4 linked regions of the Drosophila melanogaster genome follow. The gene in region 2 interacts genetically with the main gene of each other region. Each region holds a gene or a part of one and is shown on either strand. Other genes may lie near its edges. The genes, in order: l(2)k09848, Dg, Sdc and tw.

Region 1 (5,084 bases), about 10 Mb from region 2:
AGATTTTAAAATAAAAACATGTGCGCTATTTTTGATTCTTTGGAAAAATCCGCTAGATAACCGGGAAAACAGCTATAAATATCTATTTCCTACTGAACCTAAATGTCTTTGTAGAGCTATAATTATATAGCTTATTTTCAAATTTTACCTATTTCTCTTTAAATTACCAACTGCGTGACCATTGAAATTCACAAGGTTTGGTATATGACACATTTCCTGAAAAAAATCACTTCTTAATGATATTGAGCACCGAAGAAATTAGTTTACATAATTTGGAACAACTGACCCTTCGATGGGTCGAGGTTATCAACTATAGCAATCTCCCTTGTTTTTAGAATTAATTCAAAAAAAATTTGTGAAATGTATGGTTTTTGGCTACCGCTTCTAATAAGATCACGTTTTAAACATCTTACTTTTACTAAACTAGAGTCTTACGTTTTTTTTTTATAAATGACCTATTTTGAACTGTAACCGTCAATAAACTATGCTGACTTAAATAAGCAGATATTCTGCATATTCTTATCAAAAATTATTACCAGAATTATTGACCTGATTGACTGCTTTATAGTTTATCTGCCTATATTTATTTGACTATATTCAATTACAATGAATTCCTAAATTAATCTGTAGCTCGCAGTTCCACTCGCTGTTGTCGCAGAAGCTGTGGATGCGCCCTCAGGATGTCACGTTGTTGACGGAGGTTCTTGATAATTCCTGGCAAGTGCCAGGCGTGTCTGAGCAGACTATCTGTCACATCAAAATGGGCATGCCGCACGCAGCGTAGTTGGGAGCAGTGCGCCACGGTTCGGAGGTCCAAAGCCATATCGTGCACTAGCGTAGCTAAGTACTCCTGCGTCTCGTTGATGGCGTGCAGTTCCAGGGTGAAGTGCGGTCGATCGAAGTGAATCAGCTTAATGCCGTAGACGACGGGCTGACTGTCGTCCGCTGGGCGTAGGAGACCCCTACAGGCCAGTTCATAGGCCTCCTGGGTCTGCAAATCGACACCGCAGAGCTCAAACATCTTACGCTGATGGGATGCCTGCATGGAGGCGGCTAGACTGCTGATCCTGTCTGCGGACACGTGTCGGTGATTGGAGCGCATTATGACCCGTGAGTCTGGTAGGTTATTTTCGGTTGCGATGCCTAGGTGCCCGATTAGATGGTAGACCCGCACTGGTCGATTTTTCCGAATAGAACTAGACTGGCCTGCTCCCCTGTTGATCCCAAAGACTACAAAAGTATGGTTAGATCTGGATTTAAAATGTTTTACATGACTTACGCAGGACTCCGCTGGTGTGATCGCCCAGGCTGGACACTGTGGTGCAGATCAAGTCTCGCGGAAGGTACCGCGGTCCGGTGGACAGAAGGTGGTCGGATAGATCCGTCTGCTCTCCTATGTTATGTAGTACGTGATCTGCTGCAGTGCCTGTGCCCAGGAGGCTAATGTTCTCTTGCAACTTGCGTGGTTTCCTCTGCTCCATTTCGTTGAGTCCTTTTGCAGATCTGTTTTTAATTTCAATTTGTTCTTTAAATGGCGCTAGGCTTACCCTTGCAAATGTTGCTCAGAATAGCATTGCGCACGTGTTTCACCTTCATACCGGATGGCTTGTACACATTTAGAATGCCATTCATGTGCTTAAACACTGTGGCGGCATCATAAACTTTGGTGAGAGCCATTTCTGCTTTAAGTTACGTATGTGCGCTATTTGTTTTTAAATTCACATGACAGTGTTGGTGAACACACACGAACAGCTGAGCACATGTGCTGCCCAGTACTGAATAGGGTATAGACATGCACTTGAAACTTAATTTATAAAATTTACATATAAAATGTTGTTTTCAAATATCTCTTTAATTTTCTAAAAAAAAGTTTAGTTGGAAATAATTCTCAAAACGTTGTGGTCTTTATACCCGCAAAAAAACATGCTTGTATCACTGCAAAACAAGAATTAAGTCCACCGCACGAAAAAACAAGAAACAAATCCGATTGGGCTAAAATTTTCTATAAATTTTACAAATTTCACGGGAATATTCTCACTGTGGCTTGCATACTATTTGCTTGCATTTAAAATGACAACAAAACTGCACTTAAAGAAGTTATAATCAAATAAAGTCTTATGCGTATCACTATATTCTCACAAGAGAAGTGGTTTTCAACGAAAAAAATGTTTTAAACTGGTAAACAGCAAACTGAAGCCTAGTGACTACCCTAAATGTTATTAAAATATCGGTGGCCGTTAGATATCGATATAAACGATAACATCGATTATTAAGCATATGTCTTTTACATCTCTATTGCACGTGTAGGATTTGTTTTGACCGCACGAATTTGTATAGCCGCATACCATTAATTCACGTTTTAATCGCAAGTATTGAGAGAAACCGCGTCTTGAGATGAAGTGGACTACTGCAAATACCAAACATGTAAACTACACGGCGAAGCACGAACTGTATGTGGGAACACACACGGGCTCCTTTAAACGTACGTCCGCTTGTTCTTTATCGAACAGCATAATAATAATGACTTCAACTTTTTAGACCTGGTGCCTGCATCCGAGAAGACCCCTTATGGACAAAGCAACCTGAGTGATCTGTGCGCCCTGGATAAGGATTCCCGCGTCACATCTCTGGCCTTTGGCAACGACGATCAGACGGAGATCCTTCTAGGCCGGGCCAAGGACGCCGTGGAGATTCACTCCTTCACAGAAAAGGGACATTCTAGGAACACAGTATCCTTCAATGCTGCGCCAATTGTTGGTCTGGCCCGATACAATGACAAGCTTATTGCCGGCATTGGCAACGGAGAGATACAGAGCCTGGAGCTAGAGGCGAACGACGAGTCCGAGCCCGTGGTTATCGCCACGGGTGACCAAATGGACCACCTGCGCCAGTGCGCCCAAGTCAAAAGCATTGTAGCAACTGGCGGCAAAGAGCGTCAAAACAATCTAAAGGTCTACGATTTAAATGCCGACGGTAAGCAGATTTTCACCTCGAAGAATTTGCCCAACGACTATCTGCAGCTAGAGGTTCCGGTTTGGGACAGCGATATCGGCTTTGTGGATGGGCCTAGTGTACTGGCCACTTGCTCGCGAACCGGCTATGTTCGCATCTATGACACGCGTAAGCAGCGTCGACCTGTTGCATGTTTTGCCAGCGAGGAGCACGGGATGAGTTTTACGACTTTAGTGGCAAAGGGAAACTTTATTTACACGGGTACCACAATGGGTGCTCTAAAAGCCTTTGACACTCGACGCATGAAAACTCATGTGCATACGTACAAGGGATTCACAGGCGGGATAAGTGACCTTCATTTAGATGCCACCGGTCGCTTTCTGAGCTCTGCAAGCCTAGACCGATACGTTCGTATCCATGATTCCGAAACCACAGTGCTGCTCTACCAATGCTACGTGAAATCAAAGGCCACTAAGATTCTTATCCGACCGTTTGAAAACGAGGCACGAGTAACAGAAGAACCTGAGGAGGTCGCTGACCTTCAAATGGATAGAAACGTGAGTGAAAATAAGAGCGTCAACGCAACATCTGTGGACAATGAATACGAGGATATGTTTGATCAGATGCCCACTGTGGGGTAAGTTTAACTACATATTGAGTGATTTAATAATACGCTAAAATCTTATATTTTGGCCAACAGTGACAGCGATAATGAGTCCGAGGAAGAGATGTCTAATATTAAGCTTTCAAAGGCCGATCTAAAAAGAAGATCGTCGGAAAAGTCTTTAAAAAACAAAAAGAAAAAAGTTGTGATTAGTTAAAGCGACATGTATTTACGTATAAGAATATTAAAGAAAAAATAGTATAGATTTCGGTGGTTTTTATATTAAAGAACTAACAAACATGGCATCGTAGGTAGACACAGAGCTGTTTTAAAAAAGTTTCGTTGCATATTACATTCTGAACTGACTGTCGAGCAAGGGAACATGAGGTGCGTGCAAGTACTTAAAATAAATTATATTGTAAAGATGGAAGCAACAAACGTCGACTGCGATTATAGTGTTTTACCCCCAGCATAAAAATGGATTCGTGGCCTTCCTGTCATTTTTTCAATGAAGTGTTGGGTCTGTAAAAACATTGCAGCTTCTGCAGTCTAAGATAAGGTGTTGTTTATTTCCTATTTCTAAAAACATAATTCTCAAAAATGTTGGCTTTGGGGGACAGTAATGTAGGAGGCAACCTCATTTAAAGAGACGACTCTTGCGGTTCACCCTTTCTTTTATTTATGTTATGTGGAGTCGTGGTTTAGTGGCATTTTAATGGGCTTATAGTATAAGTATCTTATCCCTACTAGAGGAGTATCTTACATATGTTTAAATATTTATTTACACTAGATAGATGTACGGCAACGGAGAAAAATTAATATTGTAGCCATCAATAGTTTGGTATTATTCATCTTAAGTAAGCTTCTGTAAAAATCGTTTTGGCCACATAATATGAGATACACATAATATCATGTGTGTAGTATCTGAAGACATATATACATATGTTTGCCTATAAACTCATATTTCTCATAAACTAGAATTAAATGTTTTCCTGAAAAATGCAATATAGATTATTATAAATGCGTTATAATAATAATATTTCCCACTCGTTTCTAGATAAACAACGGCTTTGTTTTAAAAATTTAAAAGTATAAGAAAATAAAGCCAGAGCTCCTGAATTCATAATATGTTAAACAACAATGCTCATTATTTTGAGTTTAGGAACATAGTTGAAATTTTAATTCCATCAGATGTTCAATTTAAAATTTAATGTTTAAATGAACATTGCAGCTACTCGACCCGAAAAGCCAGAAAATTGCCCAGCAACGGAGACATTAAATCGAAGTTGGAGTCGCGAGATGGCATATTTTTGAATTTGGAGTGATAATTCCTTACCTAAATTAAAGCATGAGCTTTGAGCTCTGCCAAGTCCTAAAATTTCATTTGAACTACATCAGACTAAAAACTTTTAATTTCTTTTTCGAGCTAAAAGTCGAGCAGGTTAATACTAAGATACCAGCCAGCCAACTTCGAAGCGGTTTCTAACGCGAACACGCGTCCTGATTCGATAAGGCAACTCCCATCTTC
Region 2 (5,650 bases):
GCATCCGCCATTTTGGCCAAATGGTGGCGGCGTTGGAGTTGCAACAGTTGTTGTTGCTGCTGCTGCTGCTGCGTTGGGAGCCATGCGCGCAGTTGGCGATCAAATGAGCTCCAAGATCTGTTGCATGCATAATGATGCCGTCTGTTGTATATCTGCTCGCTGTCGCCGATGTTTCGTTAAATTGTCTATGTGTGCTTGCAGTAAGCACAGCAACAATAACAGAAAACAACAGCAACACAGGCCAATGCTAAAAACAAACATAAAACAACGCAATGCCATAAAGTTCAAGCCAACAACACACACAGCGCCACTTACTCACTCTCGCACACAAATAAATAAGCAAGCGAACACAGATACTAAGGCGTTGATGAAGACGACAGACAGCAGATACAAGAGCAACAACAACAAACAGCGATCCAGTGCCGGCTGGTTGGAGAATTGGACAGCTGCCGCCATGATAGATACGATACTCGCACTCCGGCCGGCCTGGCCAAGTATTTCTGTACTTTAACGGGCCACGGAGAAGCGCAAAGCAAAAAGAATTGGTACTAAGAAAAACAAGGCGACTGAACAACGAAGTGTTGATCCCCTTACTAACTAACTAACGAATACAAAAAATGAAATTTAACATCAGTTACAGTTTATAGAAAAGGTAAACTTTACATAAGAATGCATAACCTAACTGGTTAAAACAAACATAATTCAATGAATTCTTGTTATCTTTTGCTGGCAAATTGGTGCCTAAACTTCGGCTGTCTCTCCTTCAGCACAAGTTGTTTTCATATTATCATATTATCATAATCAAATTTCAAAGTTTATATCTATATAATCATTTAAGTATTATTCTTGCATTTAATTTGCTAAAATTAAAAACAAAAGGCTTTCAATCTATCAATCCAATTAATTGCGTGGGTGCCACAAAGAGAACTGCAAAAGTGAAAAGTTAAGTTTTGAGTCATCAAAAGCGAGAATGTAAGCCCAATGACGAGCCATCATCCAGATGCGAGGCCAAAACAGACATTCTTATAATTAGTGAAAAAAGCGGGCGAAAAAAGGGTCTGCACTTGACACGCAACCCGGGAAATGGTCGCTCACTCCCACACAAGCGCTAATAGGACAATCCCAACGCCCCCCCCCTCCACCGGGACCGCCCTCATCGTTGGGCCAGCAACAAATTGACGCAATCTGATTAAAAACGCATCAAAATAAAACTAACTGGTGGCGAAGGGAAACCGGGGAAATGGGCGAAGGGACAACAACCTATGCTAAATGCTCGTAAAAGTAATTTTGTTGGCCCACACACACAAACACACTTGCACGCAACACACACACGTGCAGAGACACTCACACAGAGACACGTAATTTAGGGGTGCTGGCGGAAGTGAAAAGGAAACATCTAGTCCTCTTAGAACAGCCGACGTCCCCTTTTTGCGTACGCAGCATCCGCAAAAGAGTGCCGAAAACTGAGTGGTAATGCCGGGGATTTTCTACAGTAGGCACTCGCGAATTGGGAAAAACGTATGATAAACCAAGCCAGTTTAAACAGTGGCAAGCATAAAGTTAGTTAAAGCCTATGCCGAAATATTATATAATATAATATGTACATAAATAGATAATATAACACATTCAATCAAAAACCAACGTTGATGAGTTAATCCGCTGAATGCTAAATATTGTGTCAATAAGCTATTGTACGTATTGTTCACACATTCTATGCGTTCTTGCGTCTGAAAATGTCGACCTATTTATTTTTATGGTAGTAATAAGTTTTTATTGCTTTGCCAACAATTGTATATTATGTACATGTGAGTTTTACGTTTTAAAGCAGAAATTGTTTACTCACATTAAAACAAATCTAGAAGAACCTGAAATGTAACTCATTTAAAAAATTTCATAAATGGTCGCAGTAAATGCAGTTTTAAACTTAACTTCATTTGGTTCCTGCGCACCAGGTTCCACTGTACTGAAACATTGGTGCCGTGTATGGCCAAAAATCACAGTGCGGGCGGAAACTGAGTGCCGTCATCAAAATACGCACACACACACACACACGTTGGAGAACACGGGGAGAGAGCAAGATAGAAAGGGGCAGACAGATGAAATCAGAAAAAGGAGAAAAGGAGGAGGAGGCAAACGGAGTGACAGCTGCCCCATTCGCATCCGGGAAAAAGTGGCCGCTAAAATCATTTGTTAAGTGCGGTGGCCATGACAACTGGACCAAAAGTCGGAGGGTCCTGCTTCTGGTCAGATTTTTCAATTTTTACATCTCCCTCTGTGCAGAACGCACACACATATGCAAGTATTTCCATCATCATCCACACCAGCAAACAAAACAAGAACAACAGCCGTGTGCAGCCTCCTGCCCCCTTTTACACGCAGAGAAATAAAGTATAGCAAGTCGAAATTTAGTCGAAATACATTTTAATGCAATTTTATTCATCCTCTTGCTTGATAAGGCTAAATAATATGCTTTTATAAAAACAGACTGCGTTCGAGACCCTCAGCGAAACTTTTTCTAACGAGAATAACTTTTCGATATCAAAATAATTTATTCATTATTTCGTCCAGTGCATCCATTTCGCTTCCGTGTTTCGAAATTCAATTTATGTATACTTTATGGAGCCGTAGCCGGCTCCCCAAGCTCCATTTCGCCCCCCCTTTTGCCCAGTGAGGCGGAGAAAATTGTAAGTTCAGGAAAATCGATTTTCTTGTTGTATTTTTTCTGCCGTTCTTCATTATTTTTTTGGCTGGCTGCAGACATGGCTAATTGGAGTTCTTTTTGTTGGCATCAGCTCGTGAACTGAATGCTGCAGTTTGCATCTTTACTCACCTCGTTGCGCTATTTTTAATGCACCGGATTCGGATTCGGATTGCCTGTTTCGGGGATTCGATTCGGGACTCTCCTGCCCCACTTCCCCACTCTTTTGGCCAAAGAAATTGCGTCCAGAGAGCGACACTCACACTCGCACGCACAAACACACGCACGTACACACGACTGCAGCAATGTTTCTCTTCAATTGCAGAGCGCTTTTTTATTCTATTTTCACGAGCTCACTCGCGATTTTACGCACTTCTTTTCGGCGACAACTATTTCGTTTGAGATAGTAATTCCGTGGAGTAATTATGCTTCACATGCTGCCTGTTTTCCGAACACTTTTCACTTTTCTTTCTTTTCTATGCAGCTGAATGGGAGCAGAAAACAAACGCAGCCCTAACGGCACCGAGTTGTGGTTGTTGTTGGCTAGGCAGTGTGACCGCAACTGAGGGTGGAAAAGAATCCGTTGCGGAAAATATACCGAAATGTATCTTGTGGATTCATTTGCAACAGCTGCGCTGCCACAACCATCGTGGGTAGCTAGAGATGGCACAATACCAATTCGATATATGTACAACCAAACATATTCATTCCATATTTAAAAAGTTTTCGGTTACTTTCAGATCCATTCAATTAAAAGCGGTTTATCTAATTTGTCCCCATATGGTGGTTTTCCATTTGACCAATATTATGACGATTTTTTAGATTAATTGTATGATTCCATCTATATGTAATGCATTTTACATGCTAACGTAAAATAGCATGCAGCTAAGTTCGAAATTTCGAACCCAATGGTCTGGCAACGCCAAAGCGGCTTACCGGCTGTTCAGGCGGTATTATTCGGACTTCATGCGGTCATACTAACTGGAAATTACTTAACATGCTGCAAGGAATGCTCCAAAGGCGAGTAAATAATGAATATACCATTTATTTTGAGTGGTATAATAACATACATTGGCATTGCAGGACCTGCCTGGCGGTTGTCAGCACCGCACAAACTCTAATCGTGCGGGATAAGCACGCTTTCAACCGGGCGGTGCTGAAACCGAAAGTACGCTGCCATTTTCCGAAACCCATGGAGGTGAAGAGAATTAATGTCCACGGCTGGAATGCTAGGATGTCGACGCCTGAGGGACGACGAGTGCTGATGAACCGGATCCTCAAAGGACGTCACAATTTGTCACACTAGCCTTGTGTTAATAAACCTAACTTTATTTACAATGTTATCCGATTGCGATTGCTACAGTAAGCTCAGTTTTAGTTTCGTTGATTCGCTGGTACTCCCAGAAAGGCTGGCGCTCGATGGTAGATCTGCTGAATACTCTTCGAAGATTTCGAATCGTCAAGGATGAACACGAAGGGCACACTGCTGGACACACCTTGGCCCTGATCCCGAAGGAAGCCCTGCGGCAGGGACTGTTCCCCGCCGAGGATAAGACAATCCACCAGGGACATCTTTTGTAGCGGCATTGCTGGCACCAGGTATAACTCCTTGCGCTCGTAGTCGATGGCGCGAACCACACCTAAAAGAATTTTGGAATTCAATTAATAAGCCACAAAAGAACGTGAATGTGTACAAACCTATTCCCAAACATTGGGGCAGACCTGCTCCGTGATGGCACAGATATACTACATTAGCCTCCATGCCTCGAATCAGTTCTTCGCGCGAGTAATTCTTGCTGGTGGGATGCAGGATTTTCAGGGATTCCAAAGACACTCCCAACGGCTGGCAGTCTGTAAGAGATTTGGCATTTCCAGTCAGGCAGGAACTGAGACGTGCCAGAAGATTGGAGTACCGCATGTCCTTGGCGCTGAGACTCCAAGTTCCTTTTTCCCTTGCAGGCACTGCACTTATCAGCTTATGGAGTGTGTATTTTGGTATTTCATTGATCTTGAACTCCTCCGCAGAGTATATAATTGGTTTTATCTGCGACAGACTGTTCCGGTCGAGGACAGAATCAAAGTTATTGATTGGAATGGGACTGGCAATCTGTACAAGATCCGTGGGACGAATGCGATCCACCAGCAGAGCCATCAATTCGATACCAAATCCCTTATTATAGCCCATCGTATTTATCAGCCAAGGAATATTTGAATACTTGGCATCGTTCTGAATGTTTTGGACTAGCTGAATAACTGCTCGGGCATACTGCTCTGCGCACAAGACAATGTTGGTGTGGCCCACGACAATGGCATGTTCCGGCTGCCTGTTGTACAGGAAGCCCGGTCCCAGAAGGGGCTCATCAATTACGGTGCAAGAAATAGTCTGGGGTACAAATATTTCCGGCTGACCAATGTCCAGGTCGATGAGCAGCATGGATGGGAATTGACCCAGATTTCGGTTGATGAGGTAACGCAATAAACTAGACTTTCCGACGCCCTTACCACCGGCTACGATTATTCGGCTCGTTGCATGCATTTGTAACTTATTCCAAACCTGCGGAACTTGGAGAGTGCGACTTTGATCGCTCGATTGAATCAGACAGTGCAACAGGGTTTCACTTTGGCCAAATGGTCGATTGGAAGAATTGACAAGTGGGAATACATTTTGCGCCATGTGCTTGCCAAAGGTATCGACGAGCTGCTGGGCACTTGTGTTTCGGTGGAGCAGTACTATTGCATTCGTCTGACGCTGAAAGCTGGTCTTAATCCTGTCTAGCTGGGCGCGTGTAAAGTTCTTGTTGAGTTCTTCCCAATTTACCTCATCTTTTACAGGTTTTTTAGTCTTGGTTGGCGAAATAGATACCCAATTAAGGCCTTTAGGAGAATAAATTGTGATTGCTTCCTGCCTGCGTGCTCTGTAACCATTTACTGATATTTGACCACAGAGTAGAG
Region 3 (5,694 bases), 5.4 Mb from region 2:
GCCTGCGAAAAGTTGTCCACGTTCATCTGATCGTTCGAGGTTGTCTCCTGCTCATCGGATAGAATCCGCACCGACTCCTCCTCGGTCACTGGCGAGGCGGAGCAGGATTTCTCATCGTCGGGCATTTGCTGATCGTCCGCCTGGTTGTCATCTGCATCCATCTCTTGCAGCATGCTGTCCAGTTCGGTGTCCGAGATCTCGTCCATGGTGGAGCAGAAGGTCAACGGTTGACTACGCCTGGGATGCTGCTCCTGTGGCAGCTCCACATCCTCTTCTTCCGTTTGTACTGGCTGCTCCATCTCTTTAGGGACCGGTACTTCCGCAACAGATGCTGGCTGAAAATGTAACACCATTATTAATAAACTATACTATATGTCAAGATAGTTTATAACCTTAATTGATTTATGAAGCTGATAATATTTTTAAACTAATGCGCTACACTTATTAGTCATTTACACAAACAAAGTAAGGTAATAGTACTTACTAAATTGGCCAATGGGACATCTATGCCGTTGGTCATTTCGGTTTCGGGTTCTCTACTGGGCGACGATTCCTCCGAGAGCTCCTCGAGGACCTGCCCGAGAACAGACGATGCGGTGACCTCCTCCGGCAATAGGGATTGCGATTCTGTGCCGGACGCAGTGATGGAGATGGATGACAATCCAACTGCTAACTCCTCTACAGTTTGTTTGGATTGCGTTGGCGGTGGAACAGCCTGATCTTGGTGCTGGTCCTCATGCTTGACCTGTTCCGGCTGTTGATCCTGTTCCTTTGGCTCCACCTGAACTTCACTCGTTTTCTCATCTTCGGGGGGCGTTGCTAGCTCCTCCGAGTGACTGCCATTGCTCACGGGCGACGGACCCGACGAGAAGGTGGAACAGGATGAGGTGGTCAGCGATTCGGAGGACGATACTATCGTCTGGCCGTTATTTTTGGACGCCTGTTCGCTGAACTTGTGGATGTCGTCTTCGTGTTCCGCCTCCGTTTGCCAGTCGTAGCTGGGTAATTGGGCATCCACCTGCAAGGACTTCACATTTTCCCTGTAGTCATCCAGGCTGTTGAAAACCTGAGAGACGCCCACAAAGGACTTTCCAGACGCCGGTGTTGGTGTTACTCCCGCAGCTCCCGATACTCCGGCGCCAGCTCCAACTCCACTGATCGATGCACTTGCTCCGTCGCCCAGAAAACGGCCAGGATTTGCACCTGCAGCTGCTGCTGCCGCTGCATTTCTACTCAGCTGCTCATCGGCGGCAATGCTCAGTTCCAGATTGTCCAAAACCTGATCAATGTCCACCAAGTCCATGGCCACCAAATCCGCAGAAACCTTAAATAAAATTGAACCAACCAGGTTTATCTGCTTGCATTTTCACAAAAACGCAAAAGAGAAAAAACAACACAAAAAGATGTGGAGAAAAAACGGTCTTGTGATTCATACCTTTTTCACACCTCGAATATAGTCATAACAAGGCAATGAGGAAAACAAGGACGTATTCGCCTTTAATAAGCAATATTAAGCACCTGCAATCACCTTATTTACTTTGTTTTCTTCTCGCTAATTTATTAACAAAAACTCGGTGACGAAAAACATTGTAAGAAACTGCCTAAAAATAGCCATGGAAACAGTGTTGCAAAGACAAAAAAAATTAAGTCAAATTAGCACCTTTCTCATTTAGTATTTTATGATGCTATCTCGTTCTATCTTTCTCTATAATCTGTTACTGTTACAATGTTAACATAAACCGTAACACCTTTTCAAATTTGAAAATAATAATAGGTAAAAGCTGTCGGGTCCTACACGAATATGAATGCTTCAATTGTTCAATATTAATGCGTATGAATTCAAACAAATCTATTAACATTGGGTCTGGGAAATTTTAGCCGCCAGTCTGTGTTTTTAAAAAAATGTTGGGTTGTACAACTGAACTAACAGTATCACAGAATAACAGTGAACGTACGAGCAACCGAAACAGTGTAAATCAGTGTAACCGCAGCTTAGCTCAAGAAAAATACTATAAGCATTTAAATATGAAATCTTGCCGATTTAAATGAATTCAAAATGTTAATTATATTTGATTGAATTATTATTTGCCTATCAAACATTTAATAATTCTATAATAATATCTTAAGCAAATCATGTAAACAAACAGTAACATAAGAATAAAACCAAAAAAATTCAAGATGTTAAAGTAACATTTTTAATCGCGAAATTGTAACAGAAATATATAAATTTTAAATGAGTACGCGTTTCGGAGTGTCTATTTAAGTCATCACCCAGCTAAGCATAAGAATTGGTATTTTTTAGGAAATGCACAGCTTGGATAATTGAGTCGTTTCTGCATCTGGTAACATTGGCCAAGTCATTCGAAAAAATTTTACGGAGCGAAGAAGGCACGGTTACGTCCGGATTTTAGCGCGATTTCGTGTCTGTTGTTTGGTCGGCACTCGAGTGTAAAGAAATTTGTACATCCCCGAAAAGAATCGCGAGTGCAATTTTGTAAATACGGAGAGGAAAAGGTGCGCAAAATAGCAAAAATAAATGCAACGAAAATAAACGCAGCAAAACAACGGGCAGAAAGATACGAAAAGAAGAGGCAGGCGAAGCAGAGGAGAAAAGAGACACATAAAGAAGCCGCCATAGCGGCGTTAGTGGGAAAGAGAGGGCGCGAGAGGAGACGGAGAGCGAATACGAATGCGTATGGTGTAGTTGTAGTGGTGGGCGGTCGTGTTTTTTTTCGTTGAAAAATCTCTGGATTCAAAGGGAAAAACAGAAAAACAAAAGGAAAATACAGTGTATTATACGAAAAATTTGTTAAATTTTATGTTTTTAAAATTATAAATTACAAAAATCGAATTCGATTAAAACACCCACACACACACCAATACACACAGTAGTTGCGCTGTTGTCTCCTCTTTATTTTTGTGTTTTTCTCTCTGCGTAAACGTTTTGTTTATTACCCCCGCTCTTCTACTTCCTTTCTTTGATTTTAGCCGCGCGCGCATACGATAAATTGTTGTTAATTTTACAGTGTGTAATGCTTAATTAATACCCTGTCTCTCCAACCAACGCTATCTCTTTTGTTTTGCAATTCGATTGATAACACATCGGGAATAGTGTGTGTCTGGAAAATAAATAATCATAATAATCATAGTTTCATGTGTGTATTTAAACAGCGTTCTTCTAGTGTGAAACCAGTTTAAAAAGCTGCAAGAAATATATATAGCTCAATATATATATTTATATATGTGTGCCGCCGCCAGTTCTAATCTTTAAATCAATAAACAAAACTGGAAGCCATTAGCTGAAATCACAACAACAGCAACCGCAGAAGAAACCAACGGGGAAAATGAAGCCAAAGCAGAAGATTTCCGTAGAGCCGCTATTGCTAGTCGCAATTCTCATCGGAGTTCTGGTAGCCGCCACCCACGCTCAAGATCAGGTAAGATCTCAAAAATTACACCCGAAACTACCAAATGTTATTAGTTTACGTTGAGATAAGCCAAAATCAATGGCCAACTTCAAGTTTACCTGGCCAACCGAAATTTAGCCGACTTTGTGATAATATTAATGTGGCTTTAATGGCCATTGAATGCTTATTCATATTAATACGTCACACAGCTTGATTAATTACGAATGGGTCATTATTAGACATTGCTATCCTTTTGTAACGACATACACATGCCCACCAGTTTGGGCACAAAGTGGAGCATTTAAGTGGCCCCTTTCAAAAGCATAGTTGCGTAAGCCCATTGCTGCTTGTAACTGCTTACCAATTAAATCGAGGCAGATTCAATCAGCAATCCGAACTCCCAATTTTCGCCACCTTGAGAGGGTTCGGAACTCCAAGTTCGGTTCGATTTCTTGTTCACTTCAGTTGTTTTTGCGGTTTGCGGTTGTCCAATGCTGTTTCTGTTGTTCTTGTTGTTCTTGTTGTTGCACTTATCATGCAAAATTCGGCAGCCCCAAGGTGGATACATGTGTCATATACCCATGTACCATGTGGCAGAGGCTTGACGGGCAACGGGCATGGGCATGGTCAATCTCCAAGGCATTGCACTGAATGCAATTTGTGGCTGCAGATAATGAAGAGGAAAGGCCTCCATGTCCCGATGAATGTAAGCCGTAAGCTTCTGGCTCCATTGCTCCACTCCTTGGCTTCTTGTAGAAAAGACATTAAAAACGTCTGCATTGCGAACGCATAAATATGGCAGTGAACTAGACGCACAGACATCGGCACTGTGCAATATATATATATAGATAGTTATACATAGATATAGATATCGATATAGAGGACGAGGCGGCTGCTGGTCAAATAAGGCTGCAAATCCGAAATGGTCATCGACTCCAACGCATCGCATCCAGCCATCCATCGATGTTGTCGACTGTTACCCATTAGCGATGAGAGATGAGTGCCGCCACAGAAACAGATATGCCGCCACGTTCATATGGGGAATGCTACTCGGAGATATAGAGATGATTCAATTTCCGACGAATTCCTTTCTATTCGTCTCTCGTGCTTTCTTTAATCACCTGCTCTGCCCAATGAGATCATTTGGTGTCTGAATGTGCTGTTTTGAAAATTGTTTACAGATTCGAAACTGGCCTCTTTGGTGTTTTCCACTCATCACACAGTATTTTTGTCATTAATTGAGTAGTTTAATTTAGATTTACCGATTGTAAACTCTGCTTTTAAAGGGTGTTAACTTAGCAAAACCGGTTAAATTAATGGGCAAGTTGTGTAAATTGCTTAAAACAATTGCCAAGTTGACATTTATGTATTAGTGAAGGCAAAAGTTGGATTTAAACTGCATAATTTCACTTAAATTCTAAAAACTAATTTGAAGACTTGAGTTGGATTACTTATCAGCTTTTCTTGTTATCTAGCGCAATTACTCACATTAAGATTTATTGGCTGATAATAAAACCAGCTAATGAATCAGGCCGCAAGCCCAAAGGGCAATATTAATGTCTCCTTCTTATCTTCACCAAGTATTTTATGTAATTTAGCACATTTATTACATTCCGTGCTTTCTTGTTAGTTAATTATCCGAAATTAGAAGTTCTATTGAGATACGGTAAAAATTTAACAGCCAGTTTTCTTCATTTTCCGCAAAGAGTTTACAGTTGCATTTTCCACAGCTCATCACTGGAAAGCACTTCTTGATTTGGGCCTGGGTTCTGGGCCAGTTTTTGATACAACTTCTGCTACTGGTCACGATGATCTTTGGCATCGTCTGTTGCCAACAAAAGCATCCGGCTATTGCCAATTTCGATGGCTGTGTTTGCCTCTTTCACTGCCTGTTTGTTTGTTTGTTTGTTCGCTTGCCTGTTGGTTTGTTTGCCTTTATTGGTGTGTGACTTATTGGCCCGAAAAATTTCTACACACACTACTTGCACATAAATAGTGCGATGGCCTTTTACCCCTTCGCAAACGCCCGCCCGCCCCTCTCACCCATCTAAAGCAGTCTGTAATCTTGTTTTTGCCGTTCCTTCCATCTTGTGTCCTGTTTTTGGTGTTTGTCACTTGTTTTTGCCAAAATTGGCATTCGTGGTTATGCCCCCCTCCTCGGCTCCTTCGTAGCTCCTTTCCCTGTCGTCGAAAACATTTTGAGAACGTGCCCGGAAAATTGATGAGCAGCACGGCGAGAGATGGCTATAACTTCACCGGAAAGAGGGTGCAAGTTTAATGGTTGTGA
Region 4 (6,412 bases), on a different chromosome or scaffold from region 2:
AGATCCGGAAGCGCTTTGTGCTCTTCTCCCTGCTGTACTTCGCACCCACGACCGCCGGCGTCGTGGCGGCTCTTTGCGAGCGGTACGCGGATTCAGTGCCCAGCTGCTCCACACCCGATGACTGCCTCTCACCCACTCCGCTCAGTGCCTGGCCAGCGTTGGTCCGGATCTTCTTCCAGCTGGTGGGCGGAACGTTGACAGGGTTGTGGGTGTGGTCGCGCAAAACCTGCGAGAGCTACAGAAATCGGCTGGGTGCCAGCGGCACACCCACCTCATCCCTGATGAATCAAAGCAAGGCGGCCGGGGCTTTGCCCAAAAAGCATTTGTATACGAGTGGGAAATCCATGCTGCCCACGGGGGGAATCACTCCTCTATATGCTGGTATTAGTTTTCACAATGTGCCCGTCTACAACCCCAACCAATCGAGAGTTTAGGGGATCTTTTAGCCCACATGGGGGGCTCTAGAAAAATCTCGAACTCTACTATTGTACATATAACATATACATACATCATAGAAGGCTTTGAGCCGCGGTGAGAGAACATGATCGAACATACGCCTAGTTTTTAAGCCCGAAAAGGAGAAACTGAAATGTGTTAATAGCTTTATAGATCGCGCTCCCCCAAGTACCCATCACCTCCAGTTTTTATTAGTAGTTCTCTAGCTAGTCCTAAGCCTGTAAATAGTAAAACGTTTTATTCATAGTAGAATGAATTGTAAATAAATTATATGAATCAAAAATGAATGTCGTTCAAAGTGGGCTCCAAATGCATTAGGAACTCAAGATAAGCAAGATAACCACTGCGCGTTCTCACGGCATCTCCGTCAGCCACAAGGCTCAACACTTCGCAAGCCCCATTTACTATATGTGGGTTAATGATGCAAAAGTTGTCGCTGCAATGAGCTAAGGGATGGATGGTGGGTAGGAATTCCGACGGATCGCTTAATTGCAACAAAATGGCTAATTTAGTTATGCTATTGTCTGCGCTCCGAGCCGTGGCAATTAGAAGGAAAATGCTTAATGACAGATCTCGACGTTGGTTGCCATCGGTTGCCGACTGGTTATGCTCCGCCGCACCTCCACCTGTGGCTCTGCGTATTCTTTCCCCTGTATATGTTTGTACATTTTGCGGACACTCCAACTCTTTCGTATGCCATTCAAGTACCACCTGTATTCGGACCAAGCGAAATATGGTGGACCTAAAATTATCAAACATGGTGGTCATGTTTATAAATGAGTAAATTACCTAAAAACTAAGATTGTTTTTTTTACTTAGATGGGATGTGACACCCTAACACCCGATTCTTTAGCACAGACACTTTCCCTGCTCTCTGGATGTTTGGGCTGCGTCAGAACACGGGTAATTGGTATCAACCGAGGCACAATTAATTTGATTGAAGCTGCCACACCGCATGCCGCTCCAACGAACAACGAATCCATCCTACAAATTGCCGGCCGTCGTGGCAGGCAACAAGCCGAAACACTGCGGCAACATCGGCACAATAGCAACAGCAACTGTGCAGCAAGCGTGCAATTAACTCTTGTGCGCCAAGATCAAAGCGATTAATGCGGCCCCAAGTTCCCAGACGAAGGGACGGAGGCCAGGGCATTTGGAGCAGCGAAGGGCAAGGAACGGAAACCAAGACAGAGACGAGATGAGGCGGGCGTGGATGGGGGAAAGGTATTCCAAGCCTGGTCTGGCTTGGTCTGTATCGTCATTTTCATTCTCGTCTTTCTGGGCAAAAAAAATATTATTATACGAGGGTCCCATTCCTGGATGAAGTCGCCTAAACATCTAATAGGCCTTTAAGCCAGACGTTCAAGAGCATAGCCATAGTAAGCATAGCCAGTGTTGTTATCCTGGCCACGAAAACAAATATGTAGGTAATATCTGAATGCATTTTCCATAAAATCCCAGAAAATATATATATTTTACAGCATTTTTGCGATGTAGATATCTGTAAAGATATTTTTACTATTTCACTTTTGAAAATATTGCATACTTTTAAGAGCATTGCTACTGCTTAGTACCTCCTGTATCCACCAGATTCGCTGTAGATGTTACAGAAAGTCTGGTAACAAACTGGTTAAAGACCCGTCTTGGCCCAGATTTATCGATAGCGAGGGCGAAAGCAGCTCCCCGATATTGTAAGCCCGATTTGTTTGGTCAAAGCACAGCCAAAGCCAAGTTGCAGACCTGCAGACCGGTTTTGGCCAAGAAAGAAGAACGAAGAAAGATCGAGTCGGTCGACCAAAGAGAAAGCATGATCGGTTGGTTGTTGTTGACGTGTGCACCACTCTAAGAAGTGTTTCAATTTAAACGGCCAAAACTATATAATGGCAGCAAGTGTTGTTAAAACCCCCAAGTGCCCCAGACGAGGATCTGTCAAAGATGTGGCCCAAAACGCACCTAGAACAGCACCCACATCTAGCAAAGAGGCCAATTGGTAAGCGCAGCGAGATCAAAACAAAAGAGAATTTTAGTGAAATTCCTCAAATTCCTCCAAAAACCCCAAAAACAGGAACTGGTGGCTTCTCCTGGCTACCGTCTTCCTGGTGACCTTCGCCACCCGCTTCTATAAGGTCACCGAGCCGGATCACATATGGTAACTGAACCACTTTTGAAAGTGACTCGCCGGACTAATAGTTACTTATCTTTTTTCCAGTTGGGATGAGACGCACTTTGGCAAGATGGGCAGTTGGTACATTAACAGAACCTTTTTTTTCGATGTCCATCCACCGCTAGGAAAGGTGGGATACTGATAATACAATACTCAAGCAAATTAGGCTGACCAATTTAAAATGTTTCCAAATAAATAGATGCTCATTGGCCTCTCTGGCTACTTGACGGGCTACAATGGAACGTTTCCGTTTGAGAAGCCAGGTGACAAGTACAACGAGACGCGGTACCAGGGCATGCGATATGTACGTGATTACAATACCTGTGAACTGCGTCCTGTTAATTGATCTCACCCACAGTTCTGCACCACACTGGGAGCTCTGATCATGCCCATGGGATTCGATACTGTCTACGATTTGACCCGTTCCCATGAAGCTGCCTTGCTTGCGGCTGCCTATCTTATTTTCGGTTAGTGTAAAGACGTGTGCTAAGTTAACCCTCTTATTTGCCTGCTATTTTCTACGTTCAGATGTGGGGCTCTTGACCCTGAACCAGTACATCCTGCTGGACCCCATTCTGTTATTCTTCATGATGGCCTCCGTCTGGGGCATGGTCAAGGTATCGAAGTCCACGGCCTCCGGAGGATCGTACGGTCTACGCTGGTGGCTCTGGCTCTTCCTCACCGGCACCATGTTGTCCTGCACGATTAGCGTTAAGTTCGTGGGTCTGTTTGTGGTGCTGCTGGTCGGTCTGCATACAGCCACTGAACTGTGGCTCATCCTCGGCGATTTGGGGCAGCCCATTTTGGAGACTGTTAAGCAGTTGGCCTGCCGGGCCATCACCCTGATTGTCTGGCCCGTTCTCCTCTACATCCTGTTCTTCTACATTCACCTGAGTGTCCTTAACCGCAGCGGCAACGGAGATGGGTTCTATAGTTCGGCCTTTCAGTCCAGGCTGATCGGCAACTCCCTATATAATGCCAGCATGCCCAGAGATGTCGCCTACGGATCGCTAGTGACAATCAAGAACCACAAGACGGGCGGAGGCTACCTGCACTCGCATCATCACCTGTATCCCAAGGGATCTGGCGCTAGGCAGCAGCAGGTTACCACTTACACCCACAAGGACGAGAACAACAAGTGGCTAATCAGGCCGCACAACAAGCCGGGTCCACCAAAGGGCAAGGTACAGATCCTCCGGCACGGGGACCTCGTCCGCCTGACTCACATGGCGACCAGGAGAAATCTGCATTCCCACAACGAACCTGCACCCATGACCAAGAAGCATTTGCAGGTCACAGGCTATGGCGAGGTGAGCACCAACATATTTTACATTTTAATTGGCTGGGAAAGCTCATGTGGTATACTTCGACGAACTTCAGTTGGGACTAGGCGATGCCAACGACGTCTGGCGCGTGTTGATTGTGGGCGGCAAGGTCAACGAAACGGTACACACGGTCACTTCCCGTCTCAAGTTCATCCACCTGCTGCAGAACTGCGCCCTGACCTCCAGTGGGAAGCAGCTACCGAAATGGGGGTTCGAACAGCAGGAGGTGTCATGCAATCCCAACGTGCGCGACAAGAACTCGCAGTGGAACGTCGAGGACAACGAGCACAAGTTGAGTAAGTAAATACTACTAAAATACTTCGGCTAATATTCAATTACTGTCAATTTATTTCCGTACAGTGCCCAGTGTAAGCTTTAGCGTGTATGCGCCCGGCTTCTTTGCCCGCTTCCTCGAATCCCACGCCGTAATGCTGCAGGGAAACGCAGGACTCAAGCCCAAAGAAGGCGAGGTCACCAGCAGACCCTGGCAGTGGCCAATCAACTACAGGGTGAGCATAGCAGAAACAAACAATATTCGGTCAGAAGAAGTAACACTTTCCTTTCCTATCTAGGGCCAGTTCTTCTCCGGCAGCAGTTACCGCATCTACTTGCTGGGAAACCCGTTGATTTGGTGGAGTAATCTGGTTTTCCTGGCCCTTTTCGTCACGGTTTTCCTGTGCAACGCAGTTGTTCAGCAAAGAAGAGCTGGCTTCGCCCGATCGGCGGCCCAAAATCAAGCCCAAGTTCCCGATTCGGAAACAGTGGCCCAGGACGAGGAGAGTGAGCACTCCACCACGGACATCTGCAGTTGTTGTACTCCGGCGAAGGAGATAGTCCCAAAGGCAGTTCCCAGTGGGTCCCCGGAGGCACCCAACCCGGCGCAGTCCTTAAGGGCGGCCGCCTGGCTTTTTCTGGGCTGGATGCTCCACTATTTGCCCTTCTGGGCGATGGGACGGGTGCTCTACTTCCACCACTATTTTCCGGCCTTGATCTTCAACTCCTTGCTGACGGGTAAGCAGATAGAAGCTGTGTCAAACTTCATCTTTGTTTAAAAGCAAATTAATAGTGCCTAATAATTCCTTTACCGTTTGTCATTTTAAACTGTTTTTAAATAATTTCACACAGGCGTTATGTACAACTACATTTTGAGGGTTCTGCCCAAATGGATTCACCACGTTATCCTCGGACTGGTTCTCTCGATCCTGGTGTATAGTTTTGCCGCCTTCTCGCCACTTGCTTACGGAATGAGTGGTCCTCTAGCCAACGAGCCGAACTCTACAATGTACAATCTCAAGTGGCTTTCTACCTGGGAGTTCTAGTTAATATAACCTTAAGCATTTTGTGGTTCAATAAGTGTTTTAATAATCCTTTAAAGCTCCAGAACATAACTCATATGCATCTTTGTGAAAATGAAAACCCCAAATAGGCAACTATTTATTATTTATGAGTAGGTATAATGATTAATTTATAGAATACGCTTAACTCTACGTACTGTTTACAAACAAAAACAAAAAAAAAACCATTGGTAAAAGTAGCAAAATTCTCGATAAGCCTAAGTATTAAAGGATCTGGGGATCCGTGTCCCACGGTCCTGCGCTACCCATCAATCGAATATTCCCAGGTCATCGAAGCGACGCAGGGCGTAGCGCAAGGTGTCCGTGGTGCGGGGATTGGAGGAGAACATCAGCTGGACCTTCTTCTTGGCGAAGTCCTGGTCCGACAGCGCCTCTATGCTGATGTCGTACGAGTCCTCCTTCTTCATGGTCACCATCGGCAGAAAGGCGTAGGACGAGAAGAAGCCGTACAGTTCTCTGGCCCGGATCTCCTGTTGAATATCCGCGTAGCTGGGCACAAACGCCGAGTGCATCCGCTCCAGGCTGTCCCTTAGGGAAGCGTAGTACGTCTGGATAAGGAACTCGCGCCGGTGGATCAACACGTCCAGCTGGACGCTGCTGTTTAGGAAGAAGTTTATGTCGCAGCCTGGGCTGCCGAAGAAGCTGTTTTGGAAATCCACCTGGAATTGCATAGAGCCCACAGTTAGTGTCCAGAATTACAAATGATGGAGTCTAGACACTCACGAATATGGCATCGATGGGCTTCGTGGGCTGCTCGTCGTCGTATTTATACATGAAGTTGTTTACCCACAGGTCGCCATGATTAAGCACAGTGATCTCTCCGGGCAGCGGCCGCCCGGTGGTCACGAGGTTCTCCTTGATGTTGTCGCAGTGGCGGTGCAGCTTCTCTGCCAGCAGCTCGTAGCCGGGCCACTTGGAGACGACGTTGGCCAAAGTCCGGCACTGGAGGGTCATGAAGTTGATGAATCGCTCGTTGGTTCTGATGTAGTTTTCGTCCAGCATACCGGTGGTGAAGTGCTCGCGAACACTTGGTTCCTGCAAGAGAGTCCAAGCCAATAAAATAAACATGAAATCAAAAAACTAAGAAATTCCTGCCAACTTTACCCATTTCT

What was found.
Region 1: of Dg (region 2) and l(2)k09848, changing one enhances a phenotype caused by changing the other (phenotypic enhancement), as found in Drosophila melanogaster (one study listed by BioGRID).
Region 3: of Dg (region 2) and Sdc, changing one enhances a phenotype caused by changing the other (phenotypic enhancement), as found in Drosophila melanogaster (one study listed by BioGRID).
Region 4: of Dg (region 2) and tw, changing one enhances a phenotype caused by changing the other (phenotypic enhancement), as found in Drosophila melanogaster (one study listed by BioGRID).

What each region holds. Positions count from the first base shown.
Region 1 is NT_033778.4:6,073,569-6,078,652, reverse strand, and holds l(2)k09848 (lethal (2) k09848), read left to right. Parts: upstream 1-2,285; 5' UTR 2,286-2,394; coding exon 2,395-2,482; intron 2,483-2,538; coding exon 2,539-3,589; intron 3,590-3,652; coding exon 3,653-3,773; 3' UTR 3,774-4,182; downstream 4,183-5,084. Other genes in the region: CG7849 (uncharacterized protein), read right to left, coding at 620-1,230, 1,280-1,492, 1,548-1,677.
Region 2 is NT_033778.4:16,095,298-16,100,947, forward strand, and holds the start of Dg (dystroglycan), read right to left. Parts: upstream 3,268-5,650; 5' UTR 2,831-3,267; intron 1-2,830. Other genes in the region: mRpL34 (mitochondrial ribosomal protein L34), read left to right, coding at 3,696-3,718, 3,782-4,004; CG8414 (uncharacterized protein), read right to left, coding at 4,073-4,338, 4,397-5,650.
Region 3 is NT_033778.4:21,477,834-21,483,527, reverse strand, and holds the start of Sdc (syndecan), read left to right. Parts: upstream 1-2,351; 5' UTR 2,352-2,514; intron 2,515-3,149; exon of another isoform or gene 3,150-3,171; 5' UTR 3,172-3,344; coding exon 3,345-3,437; intron 3,438-5,694. Other genes in the region: Sara (smad anchor for receptor activation), read right to left, coding at 1-335, 485-1,303. UniProt on the Drosophila melanogaster protein: Cell surface proteoglycan that bears heparan sulfate. Required for axonal and myotube guidance, is a necessary component of slit/robo signaling and is required in the slit target cells.
Region 4 is NC_004354.4:782,569-788,980, forward strand, and holds tw (twisted), read left to right. Parts: upstream 1-2,177; 5' UTR 2,178-2,336; coding exon 2,337-2,446; intron 2,447-2,521; coding exon 2,522-2,605; intron 2,606-2,665; coding exon 2,666-2,750; intron 2,751-2,819; coding exon 2,820-2,924; intron 2,925-2,978; coding exon 2,979-3,087; intron 3,088-3,148; coding exon 3,149-3,930; intron 3,931-4,000; coding exon 4,001-4,241; intron 4,242-4,305; coding exon 4,306-4,454; intron 4,455-4,517; coding exon 4,518-4,956; intron 4,957-5,070; coding exon 5,071-5,264; 3' UTR 5,265-5,548; downstream 5,549-6,412. Other genes in the region: fz3 (frizzled 3), read left to right, coding at 1-434; CG13360 (uncharacterized protein), read right to left, coding at 5,549-5,959, 6,024-6,335. UniProt on the Drosophila melanogaster protein: Rt/POMT1 and tw/POMT2 function as a protein O-mannosyltransferase in association with each other to generate and maintain normal muscle development.